Linked DNA regions of Arabidopsis thaliana. The protein of the gene in region 2 interacts with the protein of the main gene of each other region in a pairwise test. Each region holds a gene or a part of one and is shown on either strand. Other genes may lie near its edges.

What was found. Proteins that work in one complex are often made in the same cells at the same time.
Region 1: the proteins of AT3G27120 (region 2) and DMC1 interact in a two-hybrid assay, tested with the Arabidopsis thaliana proteins (one study listed by BioGRID).

The regions. Positions count from the first base shown.
Region 1 is NC_003074.8:8,095,631-8,103,716, reverse strand, and holds DMC1 (DNA repair (Rad51) family protein), read left to right. Parts: upstream 1-2,784; 5' UTR 2,785-2,976; coding exon 2,977-2,993; intron 2,994-3,162; coding exon 3,163-3,245; intron 3,246-3,660; coding exon 3,661-3,752; intron 3,753-3,845; coding exon 3,846-3,917; intron 3,918-4,006; coding exon 4,007-4,045; intron 4,046-4,157; coding exon 4,158-4,215; intron 4,216-4,298; coding exon 4,299-4,344; intron 4,345-4,421; coding exon 4,422-4,467; intron 4,468-4,626; coding exon 4,627-4,688; intron 4,689-4,789; coding exon 4,790-4,856; intron 4,857-4,939; coding exon 4,940-5,032; intron 5,033-5,118; coding exon 5,119-5,187; intron 5,188-5,271; coding exon 5,272-5,350; intron 5,351-5,458; coding exon 5,459-5,625; coding exon of another isoform or gene 5,626-5,637; exon of another isoform or gene 5,638-5,678; intron 5,679-5,724; coding exon 5,725-5,769; 3' UTR 5,770-6,039; downstream 6,040-8,086. Other genes in the region: AT3G22870 (F-box and associated interaction domains-containing protein), read right to left, coding at 6,246-7,487. UniProt on the Arabidopsis thaliana protein: May participate in meiotic recombination, specifically in homologous strand assimilation, which is required for the resolution of meiotic double-strand breaks. Mediates interhomolog recombination during meiosis.
Region 2 is NC_003074.8:9,998,846-10,007,699, reverse strand, and holds AT3G27120 (P-loop containing nucleoside triphosphate hydrolases superfamily protein), read left to right. Parts: upstream 1-3,393; 5' UTR 3,394-3,418; coding exon 3,419-3,843; intron 3,844-4,117; coding exon 4,118-4,256; intron 4,257-4,386; coding exon 4,387-4,674; intron 4,675-4,792; coding exon 4,793-5,028; intron 5,029-5,474; coding exon 5,475-5,602; intron 5,603-5,684; coding exon 5,685-5,803; intron 5,804-5,888; coding exon 5,889-5,981; intron 5,982-6,193; coding exon 6,194-6,295; intron 6,296-6,469; coding exon 6,470-6,572; intron 6,573-6,659; coding exon 6,660-6,743; intron 6,744-6,833; coding exon 6,834-6,929; intron 6,930-7,068; coding exon 7,069-7,196; intron 7,197-7,350; coding exon 7,351-7,452; downstream 7,453-8,854. Other genes in the region: AT3G27140 (Protein phosphatase 2C family protein), read left to right, coding at 59-160, 261-584, 675-809; AT3G27110 (Peptidase family M48 family protein), read right to left, coding at 7,808-7,943, 8,031-8,164, 8,267-8,376, 8,552-8,648, 8,775-8,854. UniProt on the Arabidopsis thaliana protein: Involved in DNA double-strand break (DBS) repair via homologous recombination (HR). Limits class II meiotic crossover (CO) formation by regulating the invasion step of meiotic HR.

The sequences.
Region 1 (8,086 bases), 1.9 Mb from region 2:
AAGCATATATGCATAAAAAATGAAGAAGAATGGTAGAGTCATGTTACTTAAGGTCATGGTGTGTAAAAACATTGATACTTTACAATATATGAGTTGTGAAGTGCTCTTAAAGTTATAACATCCGGTTCTACGTATTGACCTAGAACTAGAAGAATCGTTTTTTAGTCCAAATCAAATCAAGTCGGTTCTTTATCAGTTTTGTTGTATGTGAATTAATTTGAAAATATTAGCTATGATCTTAGCTTGGGTTTTTGTTTCTAAGGGTTAAGGATCATATCTCTTTGTCAAATGACATGTGGTCTATATGTCATGAATTAGGCACCGCTATCTTTTACTATTGATTCGACGACATTGGGACTCCTCACTACACTTATCTTAAAAAAACTCAAAGTTGGTGTTAATGGCTTGTCACCATAAACTTTCATGAGCTCTAACAAATTAAACTTGAACTTGATCAGGTCTCACAATATATACAATTTCGAGGGATAAATATTTCAAAAGGATAATATGATAGTTGGTAGAAATGTATAGTTTCTAGTAATAATAGAGATCGTTGGTTAAACTCCCCAACTTTTTAAAATTAATTTGATTAGTGGATCCGCAAACAAATATTAGATTGGGCCTATATGCATCTATATTATTTTTATTTTTCTGTAATTTCAGTAAAATGGGCCTATGGTCCTATATGCATCCGAATAATTAGTATACTGGGCTTATGGGCCTATATGCATTTGATTTTATCGATAAAATGTGAGTCAAATGTCTAATGTGCGCCGTTATGAAGTGCAAGTGGCTAATTTTTTTCAGGGAATGTTCCAATATAAGACACTTTAAACGTAAGTTTAGACAATATAGACACTTTCCAAGTTAGAGGCACTTTTCCTTCTTTTTGAAGGAAAACTTGACTTTTATACCTCTTAACTAAACAATCGAAAACAATAACTAAATATATATCTTAACCAAACAATTAAAAAAATAAAAGAATTTAGATACGTAGTTATTAATATAGACCATTAGATTGAAAAATAAAAATTAAGATCTATGGCTGAGATTAAAGACAATAAATGGATTAATTTTTTGATGTTAAAATCTGATTAGAAAAAGGTATTTCTCTTCGTCTCTAGAACTAAATCTCTCTCTCTAAAAAAACAATCGTTTCTCCCTTTCTCCTTCCTGAAGATCGTTTTTTCATAAATCCATAGTAGTTTAAAAACGAAGCAGAGAGATGTTGAAAATCGTTTCTCATGAAATTAATCGATTATTCTCTGTGAAGTTCTTTAATCCACACAACTTTCCTCATGAACATGATAATAGTAGTAAATGGAGGTTTTTCCTATGGTTACTCTAGACGAAGGAGGATCTCCTTGTGTTGGACAGGTTTGTGATTTCTTTCCATGGATTAAAAAAATTTGATTGTTTGTTTATGATGAACGATTCTTTGGCTACGGAAGAGTGTCATGGAGTTCTGGCGAATTCTTTGGCTATGTTTGGTGATTTCGTTTTTAATCAAGTTGGGAATCAATAGGAAACAACTAAGCATACAACATAGATTAGAAGAGATATCAAGATGGATCTAATTTAAGTAAGATTTGGCGACTAATTCTAGATGATTAGGGTTATTTGTGATTTATTACAAGGCATTTGTGTTCTCATTGATTTGGCGAGTAATTCTGTATGACTAGGGTTATTTGTGTTTTCTTAAAAAGAATTTGTGTTCTTGTTGAAATCTTGTTCATTGGAATTATTTGTGTTTGGTAAATCTTCATTGGTGGCTAAGGATGTGTTTGTAGCTCTTACGGCGTTTGTTATTGGTGATGTCCATTATGGATGGCAAATTATGGATGGCACATTATGGATGATGAATCATGGATGACATATTATGGATGACGCATCATGGATTGTATATTATGGATTGATATGGTGAGATTTGTAAATCTTTTGGTCTTACATGTTAAGAGTAAAAGATGAAGAATTGGAGAAGCATGTCTAACATCCTAAAAACAAGCTATATGCGGTTGATTTGCTACAAATAATTTTTTGGTATCCATAATAACAAATCCATTTAAATATATCCATTCAGAAACCTTTCTACTGATCCGTATCCATTCTATATACCATGTCAATAATAATAGGAGATTCGATTAACCGTGTTTTGTAAAGAAACCAAAGTTCCATGTCCATAAGGTTTTGAAGGTGGAGGTCTCTGCAAACTGAAAAAAAAATCAACAAACAATTTTTTGGTGTCCATAATAACGAATCCATTTAAATATATCCATTCGGAAACCTTTTTACTGATCTATATCCATTTTATATAACATGTCCATGATAACAGGAGATTCGATTAACTGAAATCTCGATGCTACGTAGATGAAACGAGTTTGACACATGAGAGAGAGCAAAAATCAAATCAAACCGCCATTGTTGAAGAAGAAGAAGTTTCTTCTCATTTTTTACAAAGATGAAGAGAGAGAGAGGTGAAGAGAGAGAGAGAGATGAAGAGAGAGAGAGAGAGAAAGAGAGAGATGAAGAGAGAGAGAGAAAGAGAGAAAACGTGGGTTAAGATAATATTTTAGTTAAGAGGGTATTTTAGTAAAAAAACATAAAAAAGTGCCTAATCTTTTGAAAGTGCCTAAACACAGAAATAGTTTTAAAAAAGTGTTTAAGAGTGTAATATTCTCTTTTTTTCACCTAGATTCCTTCTATTGACCGTCGATAGACGGATGATAACTATGACGTGGCATTATCGCAGCCATCAAACAAAGTCATGTATAACAAAGAAGAGCACACAAACGAAAACAAATTCAGTTGCGGAACCCAAATTCAAATCAACGGAATTAGAATCACGCTTTCAATTCCGTAACCCGCCATTAAAAACCTTGAACCCTCGAAGCAAATCGAGCAAAGATTTTCAAATTTCGAATTTCAAAATTCTATCTCTCTCACTCTTCCAAGCTTAGAGACTCTTAGAGCGAGAAAATGATGGCTTCTCTTAAGTAAGTGATTGATCTCTCTCTTTCTCTCTACTACGATTCTTCTTCTTCTTCTCCATTCATCGTTTTGGTTTAAGCTTTGTCTTAAGTTTTGTGTACCTGACTCGCTTCTTCTCGTTTTTATTTTGTTTTCCGATGATCCTGATCTGTTTGTGTTGTTTCGGATTCATAGAGCTGAAGAAACGAGCCAGATGCAGCTCGTTGAGCGTGAAGAAAATGATGAAGACGAAGATCTATTTGAGATGATTGACAAATGTAAGATTTGAATTCGTTTTCAACTTTTACGATTCTTCACTTTTTCGTTTCAAATCTTCATCATCTGTTTTGGAATCGTCTCTGTGTGTTTATCTCTTCTAATTTCGCCCACTTTTGTTTATCTAAACCTCGTTGTTGCTTAATCGCTGGGTCTTATGAAATCAGATCTAGAATCGTTCATCTAATTTGAGGAATGTTCTCGCAATCTCTGTTAGATTTCGAATTTAAGTATGAATCTAGGATCGATATTGATTTCTGAACATGGTTCTCCTTGGTAACGAATAGTTTATGGTCCATTTCGTTTACTGTTTGTGGAATTCGAGTGTATATTAGTGTACATAGTTGTTTGATTTCTGTATCTGGCTAAAATCTCTAGCTGATTTGATCTCGGGACTTTTATTTTTGCTTGTGTCAGTGATCGCACAAGGTATAAACGCAGGAGATGTGAAAAAGCTACAAGAAGCTGGGATCCATACCTGCAATGGTCTCATGATGCATACCAAGAAGGTATTAACCAGCTTATTTAGCTTTGCTCATTGGGTTTATACTATGTAGATGTTGGTTGCATGAGTCGATTGTTTAAACTTATGTTTGATGCAGAACCTTACTGGAATCAAAGGTTTATCTGAGGCCAAAGTTGACAAAATCTGTGAAGCTGCTGAGAAAATTGTGGTAAGTTTAACGTTTCCATCTGTTGTTGCTATATCAGTGTTACTTTCTGCATTTGCGTCATTTTAATTGTCAAACCATTTCTCCTTCAGAACTTTGGATATATGACTGGAAGTGATGCTCTTATAAAGGTTAGACTCATTGTTGCTTGATCCCACTAACAGAACTATTAGATTTTGATATCCTATTCAACATTTCATATTAGATATTGAAACTTACAAGTTGTTTTTTAATTGTTTACAGAGGAAATCAGTTGTAAAAATCACTACAGGGTGTCAAGCTCTCGATGATCTCTTAGGAGGTATGCTAAGTTTTGCTTTAGATTTTTGCCATCTTGATCACACTACTTAAGTTCTGGTTTAATTATTTCACATTTCTTGCTAGGTGGAATTGAAACCTCAGCCATCACAGAGGCTTTTGGGGAATTTAGGTGAGAAACAGCTGAGCCAAGCTCTATAAGTTTCCTGTTAATAGCTTGTATTCTTATAGAGTTTAATTTCACTTCAGGTCTGGGAAAACCCAATTAGCACATACCCTTTGTGTCACTACGCAGGTTGGTTTCTTTCCTACAGTCTCAATATGAAATATATGTTGTCTTGTTTACATTTCAGAGGCATGAGATGAGATTTTACTTTCTTTCAGCATATAAACCATTGAGGTACTCTGTCTCTCAATGTCATTGGTATTCATTTTCTGTATTGATGTATTACAGCTACCTACAAACATGAAAGGAGGGAATGGAAAAGTGGCATACATTGACACAGAGGGAACCTTGTATCCTTAATATCTTATAACAAATCTTCTGACCAGATCTTGTGTCTTCATTAGATTGTTTCTATATTCCATGATTTTTCCTTAACCCCTAAATTTTGTAGCCGTCCTGATAGGATTGTCCCAATTGCTGAAAGATTTGGAATGGATCCAGGAGCTGTGCTTGACAATGTAAGCATTATTAACCTCACATCTTTACTTACTCTCAGGACTGTGACTGACATTCAAAAATCTTATTCATCTTGATATAACAGATCATTTATGCTCGTGCTTATACCTATGAGCATCAGTACAACTTGCTTCTTGGCCTTGCTGCAAAAATGTCTGAGGAACCATTTAGGATTCTGGTAAGTAAAACATGTCTGATAATTTTAGTTTAGTTATCCATTCAAATATGAGTTAAATTAGCTGAGTTTTCTGACCTTGTTTCCAGATTGTTGACTCGATCATTGCTTTATTCCGAGTGGATTTCACTGGAAGAGGAGAACTCGCAGACCGCCAGGTTAAACTTGCCTCCCACAACATTACTTACATTATCATTGGCACAATCTGGCTTTGCTCAATAGTCCCAGTTTCTGTGTTGCAGCAAAAACTAGCTCAGATGCTTTCCAGGCTAATCAAAATTGCAGAGGAGTTCAACGTTGCTGTCTACATGACTAACCAAGGTTTACTTTACACTAGTTTGATATAATGAGATAAAGCATCAATTCTTTTTTTGTTTCTTGGTTGCACTAACTTAGCAAGTATCATCTGTTTCATTTGGTGGTTTGCAGTCATAGCTGACCCAGGTGGTGGAATGTTCATATCAGACCCAAAAAAGCCAGCAGGTGGTCATGTACTAGCTCACGCAGCCACCATCAGGCTCTTGTTCAGGAAAGGCAAAGGCGATACACGTGTCTGCAAAGTCTACGATGCTCCGAATCTCGCTGAAGCTGAAGCCATATCCTTTTAACCAAATCCACACACACACACTTGCTTTGTTTTTGATTATTTCATATAATGCAATGACTTCATTTTTTTCCTTAACTGAAGAAATCACAGTTTCCAGATTACTCAAGGAGGCATTGCTGACGCGAAGGATTAGAGGAGCGAACTCTTTTATATGTCATAATCACGAATTATGTCTGTTCTTAACTTGCTGCTTGTTTCTGCATCGAATCAGACGTTTTAATTAAGTCTTTTTATTCTTAGTTTCTTGTTTACCAAATAAGACGATCATTACTTGATTCGGCTTACAAAACCAATCTATGTATCTGATAAAGCTGCAAACAAAACAACTCTGGTTCGTTTGTAAAAAGACAATAATGGCTTTATAACAAGTAACAAGTAAAAGTTCATTATGATCATTGATTAATCAGTTGCACTGAATAATGTGTTATTCCTCTCCAACTTATTCATCTCTATTTTAGTGGATGAAAAAACTCTTTAAATTTCTCTTTTTTATTCATCTAAGTAACGTAAAATAGAAATGAAAGGGATGAATAATTTTAATCATCTCGTTTTCTCACTTTGCCAGTTTTTTCCTGCACATCAATCGATTTCATAATTGCTGCAAAACTCTCATATTGTTTTGTCTCCTCTTTTGGGTTCCATGGCAATATGATACTTTTCAAGTTCGACAAGTCTCATCATGTTTCGCTTATATCGACGGTTTTCTGAACTGCTTTGTCTTCTCCTTTTGCATCCTGGAGGTTGCTTGATTTTCACTAAACTTGGAACATAAGGACACACATATAGCCAACTATCTTGGTGGGCAGGTTCTCCGAGATCAACATCTCGGACTTGTCCAGCCTCTCCAATGATGAAAACTTTGTCGCGTTTCAACGGTTGCCCGAAAATCACGGCGACTTTGTTCACCTCGTCAATGAAGAAACTCCCTGTACAAGAATAAATCATCGGGCAGTCACGCACACCAAAGGTCAAAAACTTGCTCCACGACACCTTATCGAATTCAATCGTAGTCGTAATCCATACCTCAACAACAACATCGCGACAAAATAAAGCAGCAAGCTTCTCTTCCCTAACACAAGATAGAGTCACAAGACTCTCCTTCATAGCTCTAAACGGCAAAGGCACAAGCGGACCAAACCTCTCACTTGTAAAATCAAAACAGATGATGTGATCAACAATGATAAAAGGGTCTGCGTTCCACTCTGGCTTCCTTTCTTTAGCGCACCAGTAAGTGTTTCCCTTGAGAGAAACGCCAATATCATCAAAAAACCTTATACGCCAGTATGGAGTGACATCAAGAGTTTTCCATAAACCAGAGTCGAAATCATAGATTTCATAGAAAACAAAATCATTGGAGGTATAGAAATAATCAAAAAACCTCAAGAGTTTAAATGATTTCATCATATTATTATTCTTGTAGTATCCGAGAGCGTAACTGAACTGGTCCCATCCGCCTGGGATGTGTGAAAATCTAACTTGGATAAACCTTCTTTGCCCCAAATACGGATTCCAAACAACAACCTTAGTATTATCGTCTTTCAAGATGCATAACAATAAACCCTCGCAATGAAACAACATAGATACCTTTACTTGTTCGTCAAAGCAAGTAAGTTTGCCTTTAATCTCTGTAGATGGATCTCCTCCATTAAAGGATTTGCTCATTAAACAAAGATTGTAATCCATCAACGCGACCATCTGAGACTCCTCTTCGTCGATCTTTAAGCTCCGACTTTTGATTAAAGTTTCCCACTCTTTGCAGGTTAATCGCAATGCTCTCACATATCTCAACGGAATTCTTGAGAATATTTTCTTCTTCAGATCCCTTGGAAGATCGGAGATCGTCAACGTCATTGTTTCAAACCCTTTTCTCTTCCTCTGAAAAATCTCTCGGTCCTTGCTGTGAAAGTAACCAAGTCCTTAAAATTTTAGGGTTTATGTGACAATTAAGACTCGGTTACTTTTTTATTCAATTAATTCTGGTTCGGTCAATTCGGTTTATAGCGGTTTTGTTTACTAGAAAAACTATCACCGCCTTTGTTTTTATTTTTACTTTTTAGTTTCACTTTCGACATTTTTCTTAGTGGTAAATTTCGTTTTTACCTTGGAACTATAAAATCAATCGGTTCTTAGGTTTTATAGTAAGGGAATGTCCCGTAATAAGGCACTTTGGGAAAAAGTTTAGACAAAACAGGCACTTTCCAAGGTTGAGACACTTTTCTTTGTTTTTGGAGTGAAAATAGACCATTATACCCCAAATAAACTGAATCACGAAAAGAAGAATAACCGGTCATTGGTTTTGGTTTGTAATTGTGTGTACCAAACACGTGTAGAATAATGGGTTAATTCGGATCAAATGAACGTGGTAAGATTTGCAGTTTAAATAGAAGTTAATGAGAAATAATGACCGTCCGATCATATAACAATTAAACGGACGAGAAGATGGATTTGTC
Region 2 (8,854 bases):
GTGGAAACGTAGTTACTTGACTACAGACACAACGTTTCTTAAGGAGGAAGGTTTTAAGGGTGGTTCATCCTGTGTCACGGCTTTGGTTAGCGAAGGGAGCCTTGTTGTGTCAAACGCCGGTGACTGTCGTGCTGTTATGAGTGTAGGAGGTGTAGCTAAAGTTTTATTTTCTGATCATTGTCCGTCTAGAGATGATGAACGGAAAAGAATTGAAACCACGGGAGGATATGTTGATATGTTTCACGTTGTGGAGAATCCAGGGATCCTTAGTTGTGCCAAGAGGAATCGGAGATGCTCAACTTAAGAAATGGGTTATAGCTGAACCAGAGACAAAGATCTCGAGAGTTGAGCATGACCATGAGTTCTTAATCTTGGCATCACATGGTTTATGGGATAAGGTGAGTAACCAAGAAGCAGTAGACATTGCTCGTCCCTTCTGCTTACGAACCGAGAAGCCATTGTTGTTAGCAGCTTGTAAGAAGCTTGTTGATCTCTCGGCTTCACGAGGCTCGTTTGATGATATCAGTGTGATGTTGATCCCATTGCGGCCAGTTCGTATAGAAAAGAGAGGCATCTTAGAAGATGTTAGATATATGACATTAGAATTTCTATGATTTAGTCCTTTTGTTTTACTTAATTCACTCATTCCCAGGTTTTTTCGAGTCATTTTCAAGGTTTCATCCTCAAAGGCGAATTCAATAGCAAGGGACATTGCTATAAGTGTGACAAGGGATGGTCGTTTCAGATCTTATTTAGCTAGAGGAGGCCCTGGATGGTTACTTTCCAGAATTGAAGAAGACAAGCGATGATGACTTTGTGAAATTTTCTTTTCTTTACCTTTGGATTTTTTTTTTCTTTACCTTTGGTTATTGTTTGGAGTTTTCATGCTCTGTTTTTTTATGGATGTATGCTCTATACTCTGTTTTGACTTTTCAATTAATATTATACCAGACGGCAAAAAAAAAATTGAGTGAACAAAGCTAAACTCAATGTGGCTTATGTTGATCTTGTCTGGTATAAACATTGAGCTTTATGATGGTGCTAAGAATTTGATCGAGTTGGACTCCAATGTTAATGTTGAATGAGCAAACAAAAAAGTGTTAATTTTATCGAGCTATAAACACATTCGCAGCAAATCAAAGACATACTTGTCCATTAATGAATGTCCAAGAAGTCCAGTCCATATGGTTATCTAGTGACTCACATGGTAGTTTCATACTAATACATAAGTTTATACATGAACAAGAAACTATCCAAGCAGTCTAGTCCATATGGTCATCTAATAACTCACATGGTAGTTTCATACTAATACATAAGTTTATACGAGGAACAATAAACGTCAATCCAAAGTACATTATCCATTATGACCATTTATCCACATGTGTATAGACAGTTAAGTAACAATGATATGTAACCAAGTTTCTTGATGTGCATCTCAGGTCTCAAAGTATACTCTAACACTTTACAAGTAGCCATCCACAAGCGACCATTTCGTGTTGACCATATATAGTTATACTTGTACGGATCAATTACAAATTGAAGAATAGTTATGATTTATAAGGATAACCAAAACCCAAAATTATTGAAAAAAAGAGATTGAAAAAATAGTTTTTTGAGTTAATAGTCGATGGAAACTATTTTGGGTACAAAAGAGGAAACCAACATACAAAAATGGTCACCGAACCTGCAAAAGTACATTGTTCATATGGACAATACAAAATGGATACCACAACATTGGAAATAGAAGCATATAATGAATTTTTTGGTGTTCAATTAATCTATATTGGATCATACACTTGAAATGGTTCATTTGATATGAATACTTTGGCATTGACGAGACGTTAAATACTCAAAAAGCCATATAATTTGACAGCAAACTTAGAGACAAGTTCAAGTAAAGTACGAGAGGAAGGTAAAAAGAAACGTGTCCAAATATCGTTGTCCACAAAGCTCTGTTCATTTAACACTGCTAGATCTTCTCGATTGGATTTTAAGTTTTAAATACAAGTCAAAGTTTGATTTTAAATACCAAACATCTCAAGATATAACATAAACAATCACAAGTTCAAGGGACTAATCTCTTCACCGGTGCGAAAGTTTAATAAACACACAATTATCAATAGTCAATCTCGTTTCATTATCTTTAATCATGTTACGAGAATGGTGAGTCCATAACACAATCCGTTACACAACCGTCAATTACAATTTCAAATACTAATTTGTCCATAACATATCCATGATAACAAGTCCACATAAATTTGTTCACATAAACGTCGCTTTATGGAAATATAACATAGATTTCAGCTAAACAAGGAATCATTTCCTCTAAATGTTTCCTAATAACATAATCTCACAAGAGATGGAGGTTTCGATTTCAATGGAGACATTCCAGCGATTGAAGCAAACTAGTAGAAAACTTTGTCAAATTCCAACTCCTAAATATCACCAGCCATGCTTAACACCAAATTTAGCCCAGCTCGAGAAAAAAAATTGTTGAAAGTGAGACTTACGTGAGGAAGATAGATAAGCTGAAAGAAGAATCTTAATCTTTGGTACAAGGTTCGTATTCAAGTCGAGATTCTTGAGCGATCTTGGTAGCTTCTCTTCCATAGTATTCAGTGCAAGATTTATGATCGCCGAAGATTCGAATCGAGGAATATTTGCGGACGCCATATCAAATTGGATAAACCAAAGAATATAGAACCCAACATCACATAACTTTACCTTAGTAATTCAAGAACTTTTTCTCGAAATCTACTCAATTGAAGTTGAATTAGAGTAACGAAATCCAAATCCATTAAAGAGGAGATTGATATCCCCTCGCCGAAGTCACAAGGGTATAAAGTGGTTGAGATTACGAAATCGATTATTGGAGTTTTACGGTGGAGAGAAGAAGAAAGAAAGTAGTGTAAACCGTAGTGGTGGTAGACAGTAACGGAGGAGATTGATATCCCGTCGTCGGAGTCACCTTTTCTGAAACTGTAGTTTAGGTTTTTTCTGGATTTGTTTTTTTTTACAGTTCCGGAAAAAATAAAACAAGAGATTATGGTAACTGCAAAATCAAAATCGTGGGTTTCGTAACCGGAATTGGTTTAATGAAAATGGGTTTGATTTGTTTGGTTATATATAACCGACGATTTGAGGGTAAACAAGTAATTGCAATTAGTCAAAGTGCCTAATGATTTTTAAGTGCCTAATATTCTCTATGTAAAAATATAAAAAATAAAGACGAAAGTTTAGAGGAAGCATATCCGAAACACAGTAAAACCCAAAATACAGACAATAACGGGCTTACTATTGCCCATGAAGAAACTGGGCCCGATAAGCAACTGATTTCTAAGGAAACTACACGCCGTTTCTATCTACACTATTACACTGCATGACGTTCTACGCGTCAAGCTGGTGAGAGAGTAAAGGAATGTGTGGGTCGGTGGTTTCAGATTCTGAGCGCGAATTTGAATTTCATTTCTGGGGTTTTGGGCATTTGGGGAAAGAGGAAGAGAGGATAATGGCGGGAAAGCGTTCGTCGCCGTTTTCTTCTCCGTTACTGAGACCACCACCGGAGTTTCTGAATGTGAAGGAGGAAGGAGAAACGGAGACGCCGTGTTGGAGAAAGGAAGTGGATGAGAACTTGAAGCGTCTCCAATCGCTGCTCTTCGGCGCCGACAAATTCCTGGAGAAATCTGATTTCTCTTCTGCTCAGATCCTTGGGCTTCGTCTTCTAGGTTTCCTCGATTCTCGTTCTGTCACTGACGCCGATCGTGATTTCATTGGTCCCATTCGTCGTGAAGTTGCCTCTAAGATTGATTTAGCTTTGGAAGGCCTCGTTTCAGATTCGGATCGGTACCTGAGCTTTTCCCCTTTGAGCCTGTTTAATTTCGAAGAAGAGAGGGTTCGAATTTTACTTGCTTAGCTTAGTAGAGTCTTATGAGTGTGGCTTGAATTGTTGGGTATTGGAATCAGGGAAATGTATAACTGAGTGATATTCTCTAATCTTTGGACTTCGTTCACTTAGTTACTAGCTGAAATCTAAAGATCTTTTTGAATTATCGTCAATATTAGCTACACTTGAGATTTTTAGAGTACCCTTTTATGGTGTGCTTCTTGTTGTATCCAGGAAGGCGTTTGAGCTTGCAAATACAGCTCCAGGGGCAATTTTTGGCAGCAAAGGTGGATTTGATGTGGAAAAGATTAAGCAGTCTAAGTACTTTGGTTTTCATGTCAGTCAATCTAACGGAAAGGGTGTTAAAGAGATGGTAATGCTCTTGTAAACTGCTTCATTTCTTCAATGATCTTAGTATTGGTGATGAGTTTTGGAAACACAGCCATGTTATATGTCTTGCTTCCTGTTTCTACTATGATTTCATAGATGTTTTCTTGTTTCAGGAAGAACGGCATGATACGGATAAGTTGATTCCCAAAGCACCAAAGTCAATGATGCAAGCCAAACTGACATCATTGTATGGAAACAGTATTGGTAAACCAGATAATCAGCGCAAAACTTCAGTGAACAATCAAGACCGTGCCTCTGATGAATGTGTCATTGTTGAGAGAAGTCATGGATTTGGTTTTGGAACAAAGCGACCTCATGCAGAAACCAGTAGCCTTGCAAATGATGGGGAAGTAAAGGAAGATGGAGCTCCTAATGGATTTGTATCCGCCAAAATAAAACTGGTAGATTTATTCATGACAATTACTTCTCTTAGAGTCATCTTGACTTTGCAGAGTCTTTTCTTTCGAACTGTGCTTTATTACCCTTTGCTAATGTTGACTACTATATCTGTTGCTTTAGGAAATGGATGTAAGACAAAAACGAGGATCAACTGAGTCACCAAGTTCATGTCTTTCTCCACAGAGTGACAAAAATGCTTTAGGTAGGGGCTATGGTTCAAGGTCGGGTGGATTAAGACGTGGATACCGTAGTAATTTTGTCCCTCCTGTTAAAACTAATGGGAATAATGTTGGAAACTTGACGTCTCGTATTGGTGGAAAGACTGACGATGCACTGGATGACTCAACCAGAACATGGTTAGTTGCGTAATTTCTTATTTTGATTCAAGATCCTTAGCAAACTGGAAAGCACATGCACCCTTTTTATATCCTCACCTTCGACAATAAATAAGCTTATGTAATCTGTTTTTCTTGTCAATATTTCTTGATTTTCACCTAGATAGGCTATGCCTGTCTCTGCCCTTCTCTAACTAAGTTTCTATATTAAACATTTTTTGAATTTATTTCACATTGAAACACTATGAAAAGTAAATAAAAAATAGTATATGCATGTCAATAGGACTAGCAATTTAAGCGTCTACACTCATCTGGTGGTTAGCCAGTTAGGCCCTCGTTCTTATTTAGAATGCTACTTCACATAAGTTTCTAATTATCCAGTAGCCTTCTACGCCTGTAAGCCTGAAAAGATTAATTTTATATTATGAGATAACATGCATGCCCATTTACTTACTATCCTGTTCTAGTTTGGAGATGCTCTGTGGTCCTGATGGTGAGCTTCCCGAGAAGTTGAGAAATTTGGAACCTCGTCTTATAGAGCATGTCAGCAACGAGATTATGGATCGAGACCCCAATGTCCGCTGGGATGATATTGGTACAGTAAGATGTTTCAGTGCAGTGTATATTATTATCCCTGTTGCACCTGGAGTTTCTCATCATAAGTTATTGATGTGCAGCTGGTCTGGAGCATGCTAAAAAGTGTGTAACTGAGATGGTCATTTGGCCATTGTTGCGTCCTGACATTTTCAAAGGTTGTCGTTCACCTGGAAAAGGACTTCTTCTCTTTGGCCCACCAGTAGGTACCCTTGTCCATTTTGATATTTAAGATGAAATGACACTCGTGTCTGTTTTTTCTTAGATCTGTATCTACTGCATACCAGGGAACTGGTAAAACAATGATTGGAAAAGCTATAGCTGGAGAAGCGAAAGCAACCTTTTTCTATATATCAGCCAGTTCATTGACAAGCAAGTGGGTTAGTTCCACTTCTTTGCTTACTTTCACATGGATATTCGTAAAATTACGACAGTAATTATGTTCCACTATGTCAGAACTTCTACATAGCAGGGAAACCCGTACCATTTTCTGTATGTCAGTGATTTTGTTCCTGCTCAAGATGTCTATAGCATGCTTATTCATTTGCTTTACGGTCACCTGCAAATTTAACGATCACAAATGTAAATGCAGATTGGCGAAGGTGAAAAGCTAGTGAGGGCCCTTTTTGGAGTTGCGAGTTGCCGCCAGCCTGCAGTAATATTTGTCGATGAAATAGATTCTCTACTATCTCAGGTTTGTTGTAATCTCTCAAAATATTACATGTTCATAAACCCTCAAACCTATCAGCGTAGAACAAGGGCTGGAAAAAATTACAAAGGGTGGTTCAGTAAAGACAATTTTCTGGCATGTATTGGTTTCCTTATGTAACATTCTATTAAAGAAACGAACTTTCACCCTTTGCCACAGCGTAAGTCAGATGGTGAACATGAATCGAGTAGAAGACTCAAGACACAATTCCTGATTGAAATGGAAGGTTTCGACAGTGGCAGCGAGCAAATTCTCCTAATAGGTAAAAAACTGGGAACAGTAAGGTTTGAGTTTTGTGGGTTATATGGGGTTTAGTAACTTTATTCTGCTAATTTTTTTTGTTTGTTAGGAGCAACAAATAGACCGCAAGAGCTCGATGAAGCAGCAAGAAGACGACTAACCAAGAGACTCTACATTCCTCTTCCTTCATCTGGTAAAGAATGATAAACAAACTTTTTCATGTCATTCTCTGGTTTTCGTCTAATATACTCTCTTGACACGATTCTCTGTTTTCGAATTGAAGAAGCAAGAGCATGGATAATACAGAATCTCCTAAAGAAAGATGGGTTGTTTACTCTGTCGGATGATGATATGAACATCATATGCAACCTAACGGAAGGTAAATTCATCATAGGAACTTCAGAAACACAATAAATCTCTGGATTTTTGATCTTTAAAGTCCAAAGAACACAACCCAAAAATGCAAATACACATTTGCGGCCATAACCAAGCTAGCTTTTCATTAAATTTCACTGCAGGGTACTCGGGATCAGATATGAAGAACCTGGTGAAAGATGCAACTATGGGTCCATTAAGAGAAGCTCTCAAACGAGGCATAGATATAACTAACCTGACTAAAGATGACATGCGTCTAGTAACTCTTCAGGTACATAAAATCAAAATGAAGATTTTTTGTGGTATCATCATGTTTCGGGTCAAACTTAAATTGATGATATGCGAACTCTGTGAATACAAACATGTAAAGCTAAACGAATTCTTTTTGTTTCTGTCATTGTTTCATATATTTGGTCATTATGCAGGACTTTAAAGACGCATTGCAAGAAGTAAGGCCTTCTGTTTCTCAGAACGAACTTGGAATCTATGAAAATTGGAACAATCAGTTTGGTAGTTTAAGCCTCTAAGACTGAGACAGGTGAGTTATACAAACAATCTTTATCATATATTATCTTTGAGCTAAGGCCCTTTTGTTTTCCGGAATATACATTTGAATTTATCTATTACAGTTATAAGATATACAACAATGCCAGTATGCCACTAAATAAATACAAGAGTTTTACAGTACCTATTTAGACCTAGAGTCCAATCTCTCATTTCTTCTTTGCTCCTTCTGTATTGTTCCTGTCCAAGAATTCAAGACAAACCTTAAAACGACCCACAAAAGTAAAAACTCAGGTTCATATACAAATGTGTGCTTATATGAAACTTACCTATACATGTTTATTTCGCTTCCTTCCTTTTAAATCTTTAACAACGTCACTAAACCTTCTGTACTGTGCTTTTTCGATTTGCCCGTTTCAGGAGACTTTTGTACTCGAGACTCCTGGACCACTCATCAATCTCACGTGCACGAAGAACCGGCAATGGATGCGAAAGTTGACTAGTCTGAGCATTTCTGTAGAAAAGGAAAATATGTAAACAAACAAAGAAGTGAATCTGAAGGAAGAATAATCTAAATTTTGTATAGTTTTAATTTTCTCACCTTATGTACCATCCCAAGGGGCTTGAAGAAGCTTTGTCATATGAACGGGCTTGTTCTAGAAATGCGTCAACATTTAGCTGATCAGCGATTGATGGACATCCTCCGGCTAATTTCATCAGAACAGATACAACAACCTCTTGGAAGCGACATAAGAGAGATTATAAGAACAATAACATAAACATCACTAGGTATTTTCGCATTCTGTTTGATTTCTTCTTGTTTTTTAGAATTGGTACCTTTGGATCTTGGGCGACGAGTAGTGCTGCGCGATCACAAGTCAGCTCTGCTGAACGTAGCCAACGAAGTAACTGTTCTTCCAAGGTTCGAGCTATCATTTGCCCAAAAGCTACAAACAACAGAATCCAGTTTAGTAACAATAACAGAGTTTCACGCCGGCTGCAAACTGAAACTTATGTGAGTCGATAAATAGATTTCCGGGATGAAGTCACTATAATTTTGTCAGACTGACACAGAACAGTAGATACAAGTGACTTGGACATGTAGAAGAGTGTGGTATCTACCAGGAACTGTATAAGCCCCAAGAGTAAGAATATTTGCAAATGTGAGCCACACGCCGTGATCACACTTCAGATGGCCTAGTTCATGGGCTAAGACAGCCTAGTTTTGAGGTATAAAACTGTCAGATTTTGGTAAAATTAGCCAATATGTAGTATCTATGGTTAGGTTCAAAAGTGGGTTCAATCAAAAAGCATTGAACTTGTAATGCAGAAAAAAATATCTTACCTGTAGCTCCGCGCTAGTAAGAAGCTCGATCAAGCTGGTGTGGACAACAATAAACGGCTTCTTACCGCTTATTGCCAGCG